Linked DNA regions of Oryzias latipes. The protein of the gene in region 1 interacts with the protein of each later gene in a biochemical or structural test. Links are inferred from orthologs where the notes say so. Each region holds a gene or a part of one and is shown on either strand. Other genes may lie near its edges.

What was found.
Region 2: the proteins of pex5 (region 1) and pex12 form a complex in vitro, tested with the Homo sapiens proteins (2 studies listed by BioGRID). The link is inferred for Oryzias latipes from reciprocal best matches to the Homo sapiens genes PEX5 and PEX12.
Region 3: the proteins of pex5 (region 1) and ddo form a complex in vitro, tested with the Homo sapiens proteins (2 studies listed by BioGRID, with this or other methods). The link is inferred for Oryzias latipes from reciprocal best matches to the Homo sapiens genes PEX5 and DDO.

The regions. Positions count from the first base shown.
Region 1 is NC_019874.2:20,499,889-20,506,066, forward strand, and holds the start of pex5 (peroxisomal biogenesis factor 5), read left to right. Parts: upstream 1-2,712; 5' UTR 2,713-2,908; intron 2,909-4,791; 5' UTR 4,792-4,834; coding exon 4,835-4,948; intron 4,949-5,065; coding exon 5,066-5,104; intron 5,105-5,266; coding exon 5,267-5,384; intron 5,385-5,489; coding exon 5,490-5,636; intron 5,637-6,178.
Region 2 is NC_019866.2:23,911,623-23,917,635, forward strand, and holds the start of pex12 (peroxisome assembly protein 12), read right to left. Parts: upstream 3,639-6,013; 5' UTR 3,374-3,638; intron 1,208-3,373; 5' UTR 1,198-1,207; coding exon 1,075-1,197; intron 1,009-1,074; coding exon 485-1,008; intron 397-484; coding exon 30-396; 3' UTR 1-29. UniProt on the Homo sapiens protein: Component of a retrotranslocation channel required for peroxisome organization by mediating export of the PEX5 receptor from peroxisomes to the cytosol, thereby promoting PEX5 recycling.
Region 3 is NC_019880.2:552,558-558,798, forward strand, and holds the start of ddo (D-aspartate oxidase), read left to right. Parts: upstream 1-2,603; coding exon 2,604-2,858; intron 2,859-5,713; coding exon 5,714-6,025; intron 6,026-6,241. Other genes in the region: zinc finger and BTB domain-containing protein 24-like, read right to left, coding at 458-1,196, 1,313-1,394, 1,480-1,563, 1,636-1,716, 1,823-2,022, 2,104-2,311, 2,410-2,605. UniProt on the Homo sapiens protein: Selectively catalyzes the oxidative deamination of acidic amino acids. Suppresses the level of D-aspartate in the brain, an amino acid that can act as an agonist for glutamate receptors. Protects the organism from the toxicity of D-amino acids.

The DNA.
Region 1 (6,178 bases):
TCCTCCGACACATTCCTTTACCCTCAAAGAGTGAAGACATCAAGTTCAGAAGTAACAGCCACAAAAACCTTAAATCTGGCGTACCTGTAGGTGTTCTTCCCTCTATTGTGAGATTAGTTTACTTCTTCAGATTCAAGCTACGTTGTATCTGAGTCTCCTGACAATACTGAAACGCTTTCTTGCACAACCCTCACTCAAGCTGGCACTTTTTCAACACTCATAGAATACAAAATGAAACTTCTTTGTTCAATTCTGAGCATTTACAAAGTTGCATTTTCTACAATGAATTGAGTTAAAACTGCAGCAGCTATCATGCAGATAGACTCTCTCCACAACACTGCTCTACATGGAAACACACACTCCATAACATTACCCCTCGCTGTTTTCAGAATGTCCGCTCAGCTTGGGCAGTTTTGATTGTATTGATTGTAATGAACTTTCTGTATATACAATGAAGACTACTATGATGTTATTGATATTACTATTATATTTTGCATCCACTCTTTTACTGCACATTTTTGAGAGGGAGCAGATTATAATTTAACATTTTTCCACATGAGGAATCACTTTTCAACTCAAAGAAGTAATATAATAATGATAAATAGTAGTAGTGATAAGGATGATATTCCCATGGCTTGATGAGTGTCTCCTAATTTGTGTGTAATAATGTTGTAATTTATGAACCTGTCAATATCTGAGTCACAAAAAAGGAGAGCACATTGTTGTAAGACTTTCACTCATTTCAAGGGTTTTTTCCCCCATTTTTTTGTTTTATTTGTTGACCATATTTTATGTTGTTTTCATTACTTCTAGTAATTTTGGTTTAATAAATGTACAACTGTGTGCTTGTCATTTTTACCTTCCCATCACGCTCCACTCGCCTTTTCCCTTCACCTCTCCATCACTCTCCCTCTGTGTCTCTTGCTGTCTGTGTATCCTATCAATGTGCAGTGCTAAGGTTGTCAGTAAATAAAGCCTCTTGTTTTTGAGTGTGATGTTAAAGAGCCAATAAACATTGCATTAATAAATAACTTATATTAATACTATGTTACGGTTTGGAGATTTACCTGTGATTATCGATACACTGACAATGTGGATTAAGCTGACTAATTGTTACTGAGAAGTGTCAGAAAACATTACAAAATTCATAATAAAAGCCACTATATGACGTCTCCATGAGAAAAGTTTCCTTGCTAGTGTGTGCATTCACTGAAACTGCCACCCAACAAAATCCCAGTATCCATATTAAACTTATTTTCCTGTTAACACACTAACACAATCACTTTCACTTTAACCCTTGTGCTATCTTAGATGACCCCACCCTTACATTGACATGTTCTCCCTACCATGATAAAGGTGGAAAGATTTCATGTAATTCATGGACACCAGTGAGGTTCACAAATCATTGAAGAAAAAAGGTTCAGCGCACTCTCTAGTGGGTCTAGATGACCCAACACCCAATGTTAAAGTGCCTAGGATAGCACAAAGGTTACATCACCTAAAGCAGCAGACAGTATGTCTTATTATATATTATATTACAGTCTTTTACTAGGCCTGCACAATGAATCGCAAATTTATTGTTATTGCAAGATCAAGCTGTGCAATATGCATATTGCAAAAGTCCGCGAAAATTGCAATAAATGGTTACCTTATCTTATGCCAGCGTGAAGTATTTAATGAATCAAATAAATCTCTTTATGGATTTGACCAACCGGATGGACGTCTTCATGTTGTGGTCCAATCGGATGGAGCCCTTTTATGTTAGATGTTCGCCTCCTATGTAGACGAGGGTCATTTGGAGTATAATTTTTAAACTGTTCCAGTGAAATGGGATAGATGTTTTTGGTTGTTTTGCTATTTGTTCATGTACCGCAAGTAATATCGTCATCACAATATTGATCACTAATACTGGATATTGCAAGTTTTTCTGATATGCAGCCCCATGTTTTACCTATTAGATTGTAGATGAGTCGTATGCATTTTGAATTGATATCTCTGTTTTCTAAAAGGTAGCAGTTTTACTTTTATATTGACTGTGAACATTTAAAGTATTTTTAAACATAGTTTGATTTAATTTAATGAGGTTTTCTATGATTTCAATCCATGCATTCATATAAGGCTAAACAATTTTAAAGGAGAACTAGTGTATGGAAAAATGGCCTTGGCTTCTACTGATATCTAATTATATAAAACACAGCCTTCAGCAAACATGACTGAATTCTCCAGCCTACAGGAGCAGAAAATAACAGAACAGTTTGTTCTGCTTAAGTTAATGTATATCACATTGCAATGTTTTTATTTTTGTGGGAGGACTAAAGAGTATCAGTCTGGTAAGATTCACTGGCTTCTAAGAATGGTAATATTATAATTAATAACAATAACAGCTAATGGTGTACCTACCAATGTTGGCAGAGAATAACCTCTTCTGATTAGAAATAAAAGTTTTAAAAAAATCATTTGGGTACACAAATGATGTCTGCAAAACTTCAAGTGAGCCAAACACAAGATGTATTTTACTGTTTACTATTGGCATGAGAAAATTAGAAAATTTGGTTAAATGAAAATAACCTTGGCATGTGAAATTTAATTAAACAATTATCAGTGGCCATTGTATAATTTATTCTATTTTATTTTAATCAATGTAACATAGCTTCTCTCTCTCTCTCTCTCTTCCTACGTAACGTCGTTAAAGAATATACGTAACCTACGTAACGTAACGTACGGCAGATCTCAAAGGAGTCTGTGGATGGTTCTGTGGGTCATGGAGGTGGAAGATAAACATTAGGAGCATAAAGCGGCTGCGGTTCGAACGGTGCTAGATTCAGACACGGCCCTCGGAGCAGAAGCTAGAGAGGACACCCGGGCCACAGAGGAGCGACTGCGGCAGCAGCAGCAGTAGCTGTCGGCGGTGAGATGAACAACAACAACCACCATGCTTATTCAATTCGGACTCACTGTGCCGTACAAGAATGATCTTTGTACCATGTAACCTGCTCGTTAGCTAACTCTAGCCATGCTTATGTTAGAGTCGAACTCTTTAGGTATTAATATGTTTTCTTTCTGTCTAATATTGGGGTTTTTAATGGGTTGAGGTTGACTACACAAAGACGAAACACATCCTGACACATGTAGCTAATTTTACCGTTTGGGACTGAGGCTACAGTTAGCTTAGGTTAGTGCAGAACCTCTGTACACTCTGATGCCAATATTTGTAGTTACTCCCAACTATGTGTGCACATTTAAAAGATACATTAAGATTGCCTTGATTAAAACATTTACGTTGCTCTTCCAAATACCTGAAGTGTGACGTAGACGTGTGTCTAACTAAGGCAGCATGTGTTGTCTGTGACAATATTTTATTAATATCTTTGTTAATCCTCTTACTACTTCGATCCTAATCATTATGCAGCGGTCAGAGGTGTGACTCACTAGGATGCTTATGCCAACACTAAAAACGATGAGATTTATTTTGGGGAGATGACAGTTGGACAGAAAAAAAGATTGCAATTCTCTTATGTATGTATGTATACTTTACGTGATTAGTTGTTTTTTATTTTATTTAGTTGATGCAAGCTTGTATTCCTTGTTTTTTATTTTTTACTGTTATTATTTTCATAATTAGATCCTTGTGTGTATGTTTACATCGTGACTGATCTATCTATTCTAGAGGCGATTGTAACATTTTTACACGAGTCTGTCCCCACACAGCTCAGACCTTCAGACCTGAGGCTTTAAGACCTCACAGCAGTCTGAATGCACTCATCCATACAGAATAAAAGCTTTTCTTCATTGTGAACACTGTAACCCAGGGAAAGCACAAATTGCCCCAAATCAATTTTGATTCACTATGTAAATGTGTGGTAAACATCCCCGTGCGCTGCAAGGCTTACAATCCGTGTCCTCATTATTAACAGTTCACTAAAAGCCATTAACTGGCATGAAAATGCGACAGATGGAGTTTTAAATTTGTTGACAAGGCATGGGGCTTTTTGTGCAATGTTTAAACCCTCAGGCTTTCTCTTCATCTGGCTCGTCAGCTGTTAAATGATTCGTTTTCTGGACCTTTTATGTGGAGCTAAAATGTAAAAAGAAAGAGCAATATTGCATGTTTGTGATTGTATTCGTAAGATGGCAGCAACTGGCAGGTTTAATTTATAATAAAACACTTGACAGAAACCAGGAAGTGATTCAAGATAATACTTTGAAGCTCAGATTTTAAAGAATATTAATAATGCTGCATTTCCTCTCAGATATCTTACTATGTTTGGTGACAAAATACACATTTGATTTTTTTTGTTCAGATTTCAGATACGAATAGTTTGGGATACAATATGTCATAGCTCTAAATATTTGGATTTGGATTTGGAAATGGTTTATTTCAAGCAATCAGAGCAAAAAGAATGCAAAAACAAGACGAACAACAGAAATGTAAATCTATACAAAGATATTTCAAACATAGGATAGTTATTCATTCAAATATGATTACGTTCACGGACACTAATAAATAATTTAATTCTTAATCTTAATCATAAATAAATATATTTGTGAAAAAGTGTCTTGGTAAGTTTTTGGCAGTATTTAGAGTTTCAGTTTGCCAATAAAAGTTGTTTCCAGTCCTTTTCATTTTTTGGTCAAAGTCTAAGTTAAAGTAATCAGTCATTTTTAATTCATTTTATTGTCATTTGCACAACAGTCCTTTGTTCATAAATCTATTTAATCTGTTGCTTTCATTTTTTGTTGTGAAACAGAAATGCATGTATTTCGCAATCCTTATTTATTTATTTTTTTTAGCTTTTACGTACTCTAGTGGGGTTTGCCTCTTCCTTCCGTTGCCATGGCGATGCGAGAATTGGTGGAGGCCGAATGTGGTGGAGCCAATCCCCTCATGAAGTTGGCCAGTCACATGACCAAAGAAGAGGGGACATGGCAGCACCGCACCAGCCCTGCAGTGAGTAATGTTGGGCATTACTAACTAATGTAACATTAGCTGTTTTTTTTATTCCATTACAGCAGAATAAAATGCATTTAATGAACCGGTTCTGTTTTCTTTACCGCTTTTTCTCAGATTCCACCAACTCCTATTGAAATTGCAACCGAACAAGAGGTCTGTTTAGTTTTCTGTCCCTTTATACTAAAATATCCTTTTAAATATTTGAAATATTCACCTCAAGTTTTTAGAATTGTTATATTTTATGCATGAAAGCTATCTTTCAAATACTTACAGCTGTGAAATGTTTTTTCTTTTTTTTTTTGGTTTTTGCTCCAGTTGGTGAATGAGTTCCTTCAGGCCCCGCCACGCCCCCCCACCACATTTGACATGGGTCAGCTATTAGAGGAAATGCAGCAGATCGATCAGCAAAGCTACAGACAAGCTCCACAGAGAGGTGCACATCATTCTTCCAATTTATTCATACATTTTATACAATTTTTCTCTCTGCCATGTGATCTCAGCACATTTCAGAAAATGATATCCTCACTTCTTGTTTTAGCTCCTGATGTGGCCGCACTGGCCCTCTCTGGTGATTGGGCTGCCGAGTTCCTCTCCAGTTCGGATTCTGCCACCACACCGGGTCTCACCTCTCTTGGTGATTCAGCAGATTCTGATTGGACCAGAGAATTTATTGCTGAGGCTGCAGGTAACTGGAGTTTCTTCCGGTCTATGATTTACTGCAGTTGTCTCACTGATTTAGCGGATCTAACTGTTATCACATTTTAATGTTTATAAGCTACAATATGTACATTACAAATGTCTTTAAAGTCCCCCTCCATTAAAAATCATGTTGTTGTTTTTTTATGTATATCTGACATTTTTCTTATGAAAGAGAACAAATGTAATAAAAAATAATTTCTTTTTTTCATTTCTGAGTATTTCTCCTTTTAAATCAGTGGCAATTAAACTGACGCAAAGACGCGCTGTTTATATGAATGAGGCGTTGTGATGTCACAATGGCCTAGTAGTGCAAGCGCATTGCAGAAGCTCCCTGATCTGCCCCGCCAGGCGTGCACAAGCTCAGGTGCGTGAGAAGAGAAGATGGTGCATTGCTGCATTGCCTGCACATATTTTAAGTGCATCCAAGGCTGGATTTTGTTTTTGACCACATGTATGAAAAAAATCAAAGTGGCCGAACCGCGTTTGGCCCCTTGATCAAAGGTGGGGCTACTCAGCTCAGCACCAACA
Region 2 (6,013 bases), on another chromosome or scaffold:
GCGTGAGTCCAGCGGGAGGCGCCGTCGCTCTAACCCTCAGGCGCGTAGATCTTAATGAGGTGTTGAGGTGCGCTGGGGAAGCCTGTGACGGGGCAGCAGCGGTGCTCCTTCACGTGCGCGTAGATGCACGGGTAGCAGAAGACGAAGCTGGAGGTGGACAGCGCCGTGGCATTGGCGCACAACTTGTGGCAGAGCGGGCAGCTCCGGCTGTTCGAGTCCTGCTGCAGGTGGAGGGGGGGCGGGGGTGCAGGCAGGGACGTGAGACCCCTCACGGTGCTCTGGTTGTCTGGCGAGTACCACCACTCCAGGAACTGCAAGAAGAAGACGCCCATGGACAGGAAGGTGGACAGAGAGGTGGCCACGCCCCTCGCCGCCTGTGACATCATCCAACCGACCCTGCAGCCAAACAGAAACATGGTTAAGAACATTTTTTTTCTGCCACTTTGGACCTAAACCTCTAAAACCAGGACAGAACTGGGTCTACCTGCTGTGAGCGGGGTCGTCAGACCCCTCGATGTTTCGGAAATCTGCAGCAGTCAGTCGGGTCAGTCGGACCCTGGCCAGCCAGAGCAGCGGGCTGTGGGTTCTGGAGGATCCAAAGACGAAGAGCAGCTGCTGGCAGAAGACCCAGACGCGCCACGCCGAGCTGATGTACGGGAACGCCGCCACCGCCGCGCTGTACAGCCTCCGTGTCCTCGACCGTGCCAACTGGATGGAGAAGTCCTCCTCATCCCTCTGCCGGACCAGCCGGGCCTCCAGTTTGGCCCGCAGGTACGGAACCAGGCACAGCAAAAGAAGAGAGCGCCAGTGGGCGGGACGGCGCAGCCCCTTGTGCACAGGACGTTCCCGCCCTTCTGACACTCTCTTTAAGCCGTAAAAGTTCTCAGAAAAGGAGGCGCTGTAGCGGGACAAGAAGTGGTTCTGGAGCAGCAGGTCCAGAAGCAAGTAGAGCTCATCAAAAGTCCTCCACAGACAGCCAAAGCGGGCCGGGCTGGACTCCGCCAGAACCTGAAGCGGTCAGAGAGTCAGAGCTGGCGTTCTTCTAGTGAGGAGCCAGAACTATTGGAGCCTCACCTTGACGGCGTGCTGCACCGCCGGACGGACGGCCTCCAGCAGCGACTCCTGGGCCAGAACCTCAAAGATGGACGGCTGCTCACCGATGGAGGTGGAGGTGAGATGGGCCCCCGCCTCGGCCATGGCTGCCGGCCTGAGGGACCAAACCACTGGATGTTAGAGGAACGGTGCAGGTGGGTCCAGAACCAGAACAGACTGGGTCCAATTTTTACCAAACTGTACAGCTAGATGGCTCTGATGTTGCTCGCCATTTTCTGCTAGTGTTAGGTTGGGGGTGTGAGGGACAGAGTGTTGACAAAAAGGTCTATGTTATATGTGATGGAAACGGGGGGCGGGGTTGCTGTGCACCACAGTTCAGAGGGGAATTTCTAATGAACTCCTGCCACTCTGCAGGAACTATGTCCTAGAAAACGACAGATTTTTTAAAAATTTTAGTCAAAAACAACATAATGGTGAATAGATCAAAAAATGATCGGAGCGGGAAAACTAAGAACTGTTCTAAGAGGTTTTTTATAAGATGGACCAGGTTCCCATTAGAAATCTCTGCATGAACTTTATTAAGGTCACTTTGTTACCGTTTCCTGTGAGTCCACAGGCCCACTTGAGAGTCTGCAGGCCCACCTCTGAATCCACAGGCCCACCTGAGAGTCTGCAGGCCCACCTGTGAATCCACAGGCCTACCTGTGAATCCACAGGCCCACCTGAGAGTCTGCAGGCCCACCTGTGAATCCACAGGCCTACCTGTGAATCCACAGGCCCACCTCTGAATCCATAGGCCCACCTGTGAATCCACAGGCCCACCTGTGAATCCACAGGCCCACCTGAGAGTCCACAGGCCCACCTGAGAGTCTGCAGGCCCACCTGTGAATCCACAGGCCCACCTCTGAATCCATAGGCCCACCTGTGAATCCACAGGCCCACCTGTGAATCCACAGGCCCACCTGAGAGTCCACAGGCCCACCTGAGAGTCTGCAGGCCCACCTGAGAGTCTGCAGGCCCACCTGTGAATCCACAGGCCTACCTGTGAATCCACAGGCCCACCTGAGAGTCTGCAGGCCCACCTGTGAATCCACAGGCCCACCTGAGAGTCTGCAGGCCCACCTGTGAATCCACAGGCCCACCTCTGAATCCATAGGCCCACCTGTGAATCCACAGGCCAACCTGTGAATCCACAGGCCCACCTGAGAGTCTGCAGGCCCACCTGTGAATCCACAGGCCCACCTGTGTGACCACGTACAACATGTTTTTTTCTGTTTCTTCTGCTGTCTTCTGTTAGAAAAACTTTGTCCCTGACTTGAAAAAATGTTTGGACAGTGCCTCAGAAATGATTCATTGAGAATCAATGAATTCCTACATAGAATCTACTCCACTAATCAGTTCATGTAAAGATTTAAAACATGTCAATACAACTGTACACTCTGTAAAACAAACCCAGAAACAATTAGTGACTTATTTAGAGAGTGAGATATTACCTAAAAAAAAAAAGAATGTATGAAAACAACACAAAATTGAACATAAAAATTGCAATTGACATCCATTCATTCATCTTCTTAACCGTTTTATTCCCTTTCGGGGTCACGGGGTTGCCGGAGCCTATCCCAGCCACTTTGGCGTGGGCAAGGGATGCCCTGGACTGGCGACCAGTCTGTCGCAGGGTAGAATATCCTCAATCAGACATCCATTCACTCTCACACTCACACCTATGGACAATTTAGAGTTGCCAATCAACCTATGCAATTGACATCCAGTACAGACCAAAGGTTTGGACACACCTTCCCATTCATTTAAATGAGGTCTGTACTGTATAGATTCTATTTTTTTCAGTCTCATCTACACAAAGCTACATTCTCTTCATCCCAACTTTTTTCCCTGTAAGAATTCAAGCAATAGAATCTCACCATTTCCCATAGTGTTAAACAAAATAATCATAAATACATATTGTCTGCCTATGAACAGTTTTAATTTATTATGATGCATGTTTTGTATTCATATGCCATCTCCTAGCATTTTAATAGTTCCATTTGTTCTGTATGTTTGCTGTAGTTTGCACATTTTAACAACAACAACAATCTACCGTGCCAAACACGTTCTCTTTTTAAGGCACATGGATGTCTGGACATGCGCAGTCGCGATCAGAACTTTTTGCGATTCTTTCACTTCAACTGAACTCAGATCCGAACAGAACCGGCTCAAAAGCCACGTTACAGCTGTGTGAGTGACTTATGGTATGCCTGATCAGTACCAACCCGGTCCGGTTCGAGGCGGGAACACTAAGATAAAAAGAAAAAAACAAACAAACCGGGCCGGGTTCACGCCCTCAGCATCAGAACTGGACTGTTGGTATCGATCCCAACCACGGCGTTGGAGGCTCCTTGCAGAGATTCGGATCGGTTCTGGTGATTTGGTTTTGTTTCTTCCGCCTTCTCTTCTTCTCTGAACTGTCAGCTTTCATCAGCGTTGCTGCCACCTGCTGGACAGAGGCGGAAGCGCAGGGCGGGACGTCTGCAGTTCATTTCAACCAGACGTTCCAACAGAAACTTCCCGAGTTTTTCAGCTTTTGTCTGCAAGCACATCGTCTAATAATTCCTTTTCTATCCTTATTGCTTTGCTAAAAAAGAAAAAAAAAGGTAAATGTGCTTTAAGAAGACTTGCATTGTTATTTTAAAGATAGAATCATGCGTAGATAAAGTGAAACACTTTTTTTTATCCATCCTTCAATCTTTTTTTGTTTTCATCAACTATGGAAAACCTGATCTACTATTATCCATAATTAATAATGTTATGCTTAGATCTGCTTGTTAGTATAAATTATTTATGTGTATTTATTCATAAACCAAAACATTTTCACAACAAAAAAACAGTCACTTTGCATCAGACTGTTGCGGTGCTCTATTTTTTTTTCTTTTTATAATTTTCCGCCAGGTTCTTTCCTCCTCATTTGGTCAAAATCCAAACAGGCCAAGAATAATTTATATTTTACTGTTATAATTTAACTGTTTATGCTTTTTATTGCTTTTTTGACGTTGTCATGTCCTGTGCCATGGAGTGTGGTCATGTTTAGGCTCAATACGATTTTTAGCAAAGCAACCCCTTAACCACCCCAAATATATAACAGCGTAAATGTAATGCTTTATTTTAAAATAAACTTTAATTGTACAAAATGTTGTTGCATGTCATCCCTTCCCATTTAACATTTAATGTGTTTCATGTATGTCTCGTTTGTGTTAAAAATGTGACACAAAACCGCACTGAAAAGATAAGTCGTTGAGGTACGCAGTAGCACCGTCTCAACAGAGAGGGCGCTGGTGAACTCGTTTGTTCCACATTTGTTACTAATAAAGTTTATTCAATGAGAGCCAGTATTTTGTGGCTGTGTCTGAATTCCTACCCTACTCCTTAACTACTAAAAAACTACACAGTACAGCACTATGTAGTGCTCTGGATTTTAAAAGTAATTTGGACACCATGCTCACTACTTTTTTTTTTAACGGCAAATATGTCGTCATCAATTTCAAGAATTCGAAATCTAATTGATATGAGAGTTTTGTAACGATTATTCACGAGTCCAATGTCTTCTGCAGAGAAAAACTTTCACATTTTTCCTCTCTCTTCTCCCTCTGTAAGAAAAGAGAAAGAAAATATATATTAAAATATAATTTGTAATAAATAAATAAATAAAATAAAAAAAGGGGCTTATCCAAATATATTCAATTCAATTCAATTCAATTTTATTTGTATAGCCCAAAATCACAACAACAGTCGTCTCGATGGGCTATACACCCTTATCCGAAGATACATACATAACCCCCTTATTGTAGTAAAACCTGTCCAAAGGAAATGGCCGCCAGCTCTCATCTGTTTGCTCAGTTGTTGGAAAGAACAAGTTAAAAGAAAAAGAAAAAAGATTCAAAGGTGGACTTTGATTTATAACATTAAGTAATAATTAATGGATGGCCGACGCTGAGCACACATCTTTATTGAGACTTCTGTAACGGAAAGAAGATAAGAAGGGTTTTTTACGTTAAAGTCACAGAGATTTTTGTCCAGAAGGAGACACGAATGGACTTCATTTACAAGTAAAGGTTTGACCAGTGTGTGTGTGTGTGTGTGTGTGTGTACTGTTGCTTACTTTGCCTTTTCTGACTTTTAGTCAAAGTTCCTTGAGTTTTTGTAATTTCATGTGGTGAATCAGGGTCTATGTTTACGGGGACAAAAAGAATAAAGTATCCACGTTTTATGATCTTTTCTGAAGTATTTTGGTGGATCTACAGCTCCTGTCTTACTTCCCATTACTTTTAGTATAGTTCATGTGGATCTAAAAAGGAACCATAGGCACAATTTACATAATTTACACAAACTTCTTTCCATTCTGGCTTTAGTAGGTGACTTCTAAACAGACATGACAACACGGTTTATGCATTTTGCACAGATGCTTTTAATACAAATTAAATATGGGGCTTTCTGGTAGGACTTACAAAAAACTGGGAGCAGTGATACAAATCAAATCAATTTTGAACATGCAATATAATTTGCCAAGATGATGCTTCGCTGCAGGCAGTGTTGTGCATTTTTGTCTTGCATACCTGGAAGATGGGAATTCACTGGTGCAACTTTAACACAAATCCAAAAGAAGATAAAAACATCACAAAAACTGGTAGAAAGTGTTTGTATTTTCTGTTTTAGTAAATATGTTTACATTAGACAGAAAGAATTAGGAATTGCAATTGTTGAGCTTGATATGGAACCAGTCATGGTAACAAAAGCTGACACAGTTGTGTTTTTCTTTTTTTGCTGCAGGGAAAAAGGGGAAATAGTGCGCTGCAGTGGTCTGAGTGCTCCACTCCTGTGTTCAAATGACAGAAATCAACCGTAACTTGTGATAACTGGAAATCAGACCATTTCAGGGGCTGGAGTCTGTTTGTTTGTTCCAGCAGCCTTT
Region 3 (6,241 bases), on another chromosome or scaffold:
AAATCTGGATCCGAAAATCTCAGTTCAGATGATTTATTTTTATTTTATTTTTTACAAATGTGATGAACTGAGAATTCTGCAGAATTTATCACTAAAATGGTTTCAACTTTTCAAAGTAAAAGTTTCTTCAGGTTGGAGCTTGCAGCTTTAACTACTAAATCACTCAGCTGCTGAGGTCGGAGGTCGGCCTCATCCACCAGAACCTCCACCCTCAGCTTTTAATCTGAAAATCTAAACTGGATGCTGGATCTGAACCTCACAATCCCCTATCATCATGCTCCCACCACCAGGCTTCCCAAAGATCACAGACCTGAAGAGAAAAAACTTTATTTCCAAAAGGTTCTCCAGTTTGTTTCTGTTTTCAGAAGGGGGGGGGCGCTTCAGCTCAGATTCTGATCCAAAATCATCCAAAGAACCTCAGCGTTTACCTGGGGTGGGGGCGATTCATGACATGAACTCAGGAGCCCGGAAGCTTCTGCAGAGGCGTGGTCTCAGGAGGGGGCGTGTCCTGGGGGAGCCCGCTGGCGTACAGGTAGGACACGGTTCCAGCCTGGATCTGGAAGCTCTGCCCCTGGATGTGGTGGCTGCAGAGCTGCTGGCCGGTCTGGCTGATGGAGATGGGCTGGCCGCTCTGGCTGCTGACGTGAATGGCCCGGCTCGGTGGCCTGCTCACCTGTCCAGGTGCGGTGCCGTGGGAGGGCGGGGTGTCGTGGTGGGCCTGCAGCTGCTCCACCGCCTCCTTGCTAAGCGTGATGATGTGCATCTGCTCAGGGTGGGGGTCCAGCATGCTGACTGCGTGAATCGGAGGAGTCACGGCATCGGTCTGAGCAAGCAGCGTGAACTTGGAGTGGGTGGGGTGAGCTGCGCCCCCGTCAGCAGCCAGGAGGCTGATCTCCTGCTGACCTGCAGCAAAGCTAAGGTTCTGGTCCGTCACCAGCAGCTGGATCTCCGGCTCTGAGCCGAGGGGGGGCTGCAGCAGTAAGGCGCCGCGCGGCTCCTCCTGCGCGTCCGCGGCGCCACCCTCCCTGCTGTGCGTTTTGGCATGCGTCTTCAGGTTGTCAAGGCGGGTGAAGGACAGGCTGCAGACGGAGCAGGTGAAGGCTTTCTTCCCTGAGTGGGTGGCGGCGTGGCGCCGCCTGGCGCTCGGGTCCGAGAAGGTCTTCCCGCAGACGCCGCAGTCAAAGGGCTTCTCCCCTCTGCAGCCACAGAAAAATGGTGCATTTTTACAATGCATATGGAAGTCTGCAAACATCCATTTGAAAAGATCTGTGAGGGGGTGGAGGGGGAGGCCCCGCCCTCCTCCTGGACTCACCTGTGGATCCGGATGTGTGTCTGCAGCGTGCTCTTGGCGGTGAAGCACTTTCCACAGATCTCACAGGTGAACGGCTTCTCTCCTGTGGACGCAAGGCTGTTCTTAGACGTCCAGACCGAGCCCCCCGCCCCCGGTGGGAGGGGCCTTAACCGAGCCCCGCCCCTTACCTGTGTGAGTCCTCAGATGCTTCTTCAGCTGGGCCGTGTCCATGAACCTGCGCTGACACTCGGCACACTCTGGTAAGGATTTACCTGGGGGGGGGGGGGGGGCTCTGAGCTGCAGGTTTCTTTGTGGGGGGGGGGGCTGTGTGCAGGTGTCCTCACCTGTGTGGGTTCTGTAGTGGTTCTTTAGCTGCCTCTTCTGAGTGAAGCTCTTCTCACATTTGTCACAGGTGAAGGTCTTCTCTGTGGACACAGAACAAAGAGTTGATCCAAAGTTCTGATCCTGTTAGGATCAGCTGGGGTTCTGTGGGGGGGGGTCCATCAGCGATCAGATGCAGCTGCCACTGACTGGGTGGGTTCTTGGGGTCGGTGGGGGCAGACCTTGGTGCAGGCTCATGTGCTCCTGCAGCGAGTGCTTGGAGGACAGCGACTTGGAGCAGACGGCGCAGACGAAGGGCCGCTCCCCGCTGTGGACGCGCTGGTGGGCCTGCAGCGTGTGCTTCTGGGTGAAGCTCTTCCCGCAGGCGGAGCAGTGGAAGGGCTTCTCTCCTGGGGGGCAGAGAAGGCGGGCGTCCCATGACTCAACTTCAGTCGGGGGGGGGGTAACTGACTCCTGCTGGGGGGTCCTACCTGTGTGAGTCCTCCTGTGAACCTGCAGGAACAGGTGGTGTTTGAAGACTTTCCCGCAGTCCCTGCATCGCGCCTCTGAGGGGGGGTGTCTCTTCCTGCCCCCCCTCCGTCCCGCCTCCTCTTCCTCCTCCCCCCCGGCACGGTCGCTGCTGACCTTGTAGCCTCTGAACTTGGCCGGGGGCCGCACTTTGCGCTCGCTGTGGCGCCTCTGCGTGGCCGCGTCATCAGTGGGCGGGGCTTCGCCCTCCTCCCTCCGGGGCCGTCCTCGTTTGCGCCGCAGCAGCTTGGTTGCCCCCCCGCCGTCACGGCTCGGCTCGGTGAGCGCTCGCACCAGCTCCCCCAGCTCCACGCGCCGCGCCGCGCTCAGCAACGGCGCGGCGGCGCGCTCCTCCACGCGCACCTGTGCGCCGTAGATGAAGTCGAGCGCGGCCGCGAAGGCGTCCGCCGTCATGCCGTCCAGGCGGAGGGTGGAGGGGTGGAGCTGCTCCCCCGCCGTGAACATGACGGAGAAGAAGTCGCTGCTGGCCGCGAGCAGCGCTTTGTGCGCCTTGAAGCGCACGTCCTCCACCACCAGCGTGACGTCACACAGCTGCTCCTCGCGGCGGAGCTCATCAAACCTGCGGAGCACGCGCTGCTCGTGCGAGCGCGCGGCCACCAGCGGCGAGGCTGGTCCTTTCCGAGACATCTATGCCCCCCCCCACGAGCAGCTGAGCCGGGAGCCCCTGCAGGAGGAGGAGGATGAAGAGGAGATTCAGGTTGGTTTCATTTCATCCAATGAAGAATTTCAATTTTCGTAAAAGATCCTGACAGAAAGTCTAAAAAAAAGCATTTTGTCTTTAGAAACCCGTTTTTTATTGGACAGTGTTGATATAGATATGACTGCTTGTAACAGTACCTATTTAGTGACCAGAAGGCGGCGCTGTTCTACCAGACATGTGAGTAATCAGAACCTGCCCATATAAGGAGGATGTTCACTTCCTTCCTCCTCTGTCTGTTTTGCTCGGCCTGTTGAGAAAAACGTGTCTGTCCGTCTGATTGGGTCAGAATTGTCCCGCTGCAGGTGGACAAACGGCATCAGCCTACCTGCAGGTTATGGTTCCAGAGACCCAGACGACGGACACATGCACAGCGGAAATGAGCTGGAAGTAGCAGCTAGCTTAGCTATGGACACAAAATGGCGAACAGAACCAAGATTAAATGTCCCACATTGGACGGGAGAGCAGAGGGGCATGAACCCTGAACGTTTCAGTGTAGGACTGAAGCAGACGGTCCTGAACGATCCGGCCGGACCTCCGTCAGCGGATGAACAAGCACCAGGGGCCTCATTTCTAAAGGTTGCGTACGCACAAAAGAAGGCGTACGCCACTCTCTACGCAATAGTTGAGATTTATAAAAAGCAAACTTGAGGGGAAAATGTGCGGTCCTCCACGCTCTGACCCAGGCGTACGCACAAAAACGGGTGAAAGGAGAAACGGCGACACCGTCGGCAGATGGAAGAAACACGTGAAAGTGAAAATGACAATACTGCCTCTCAGAAATAACATGAAGACTTCACAAAGCAAGTCTGACAATTAACAGCTACACAAACACCCGTTTGATCGATCAGCAGTGAAACAAACAAAAAAGATCAAACAAAAATTACAACAGAAATTCAAATGAACACATATTTGCAAAAAGAAAAGTGAAATATGTTCTGCAAATTGGCATGTTGTGCAATTCATCCTCATAAATAATATAGTTAACAGAACGAAATAATGTACAGAACTGATATTCTCGTCAGTGTGTCCGTCTGGAGGAGCAGATATAGTCAAAGTCAGCTTTATTGTCAAATATGCTGCATCCGTAAGACATACAGCACAGATGAAATTGCTTTCCTCCCACCCCACAGTGCAAGCAGCATGTACAATAATAAATAAACGACTTACGACTTAAAATACATTCTTTTAAAAACAATAAATCCTTGAAACCCAAAAAGATAAAGCCAAAAAACACTTAAGGTAGGGGAGAGAGGAGCCGCTGCGTGTGCACGCGCCGCCAGATGCGTGCGAATCAGACAGACGGACGGATGCATTAATTGTCCACTGGGGAAAGTTGTTTTCATATTAAAACATTTCTTCATAAGCTATGGAATTATGGTATTCATGCATATGCCTTTAGTTTGTTTTATTTTTGATAAAACAATGTATGGCGTATGTCTCAACCATTCATAAAGCAACAAGAAATTACATTTGCTGATCAATTTCCCATTTCCACGTCGATTATTACCGACATCTGTAGCTTGTCAGATGTAATTAAATGGATGGAAATAAAATGCCCCATCACAATGCGTAATGACGCACAATGGCTGATCTTGTGCTCTTGGAAGATGTGGCAAATGGAAGAATTCGGAGAGAACGCATCTTTAGACAGCAAGAAGACTTGCTGGCAAACGAGGACGAGTGTCTTATGAGCCGGTTCCGACTTCTTCGAGCCGTCCCTTTGGACCTCTGCGGGCTTTTGGGGGGGTGTCACCCGGTGCATCTGGCGCGTCGTGTCCCCCTGCGCCTCAGTCACCACTCCCCTTAAGGGATTCCCCAATTATTGCCGCCAGTCTCTCAAGAGGGGTCAGCTCCGGTGTCCCCCCCCCCCCCCCGTGGCAGACACACTCTGGCGATGCAGCGCCAGACGCTTTTTTGCCGCGACTTTGATGTCCGACCATTTCTTTTTTACTTCGGCCACGGTCCGAGGTTGTTAGGCTACAGCATTTTCACGTGTCTTTTTGGCTTTAGTAATGCCCACACTGTGCCCTCCAAACAACACTTTTCTCCTCTTTTCCACCTCGCCAACGATAAATTCTACTTCACAGTGAGTGAAGTTACGTTTTTTTCATTTCCTCTCTGTGTTGCCATGGTTTCGCAATCAATGAATATTCATTTGTGGGCGTTTCACGGACTATTTATGGGCAACTATGGGCGTGTCATGAAGCCGCAAAAGCTGCGCTGCATTTAGAATCGGTTGTGATTTATTAAGGGAAAGATGCGTAGGATGTGCGTGCGCACGGTTTTATAAATCTGAATATTTCTGTGCGTGCGCACGTCCTATGTTTCATCCGTACGCCACTTCTGACGCAAATCCTACGCAAAGCTTTATAAATGAGGCCCCAGATGACTAGCTTAACGCTGATGCATACTGGCCGCTGGCGCCATTATTGAACAATACCAGCTTGGGCCTGATATTCAGAGACACTAAAGACGAGGGCCGAGAGTCTCGGAGTGTTAAGACTGTTACGGAGTAGATCATCAGGGCGGAGCAAACCATTACAGCGCTCATGAGTGCGGGTGAAGCTCCGAGCGACGGATGGATGACGGCGATGATTATGAGGGGACTACCCGAAAAAAACAGGGCATTATGCACAGCTCTGCAGACATGAAGCTGGGAGAGTTCAAAGCCAAATTCAGGAACTCTGAAGATATAGACCCCAGAGATGACCAGACGGTAGAGAGAGTGCTGACAGCCCGAGCGGCCTCAAAGAAAAAGAGCGGACCCCCAACGGACCTGGTGTGTTGGAGATGTGGAGACAAAGGACAGAAAAAAGACGACTGCTCAAAGAAAGCTGCTGTATTCCCCACAGACGGAGCCTGCAGAAAGAAAGAACGTGGACGGGTTAAAGCTCAAGACGACTGCTGCGACAGCAGAAGCCATGAAGCGCATTGCAGACGGGTCGACACCAGGGGAGCCGCAAAAAAGGCAGACTTCACGTTTAAGACAGAGACGAAAGACGCCAGCGGAGCAGATCCAGGTAAAAGGACGAGTCGTCCCACTTTATCAACGACAGGAGCCGGTCAAGAGCTTCAACAGCACCTCCAAGCCAGAGAGACACAGCATGGAGCTGGCAGACGGAGGGCGTACTTCTGGGTTGGCACAAGGCAGAGGGGATGCACAGGTACGTCTCCTCAACAGTAAAGGGCGCCGATGACGTTGAAGAACGCCGTCTACATCCCCTCATGAAGTGTGACACTGCTAATGGTGCCAAGGGACACTTTGATGAGGGTGAAAATGTTCTTGAGGTGCCTGATGGCACCAGATTTACCAATGTGATGTGAAAATAATGTTCTAATGTTCAAACCTGGCACGAAATCATGGGTCACTGCATCTACGA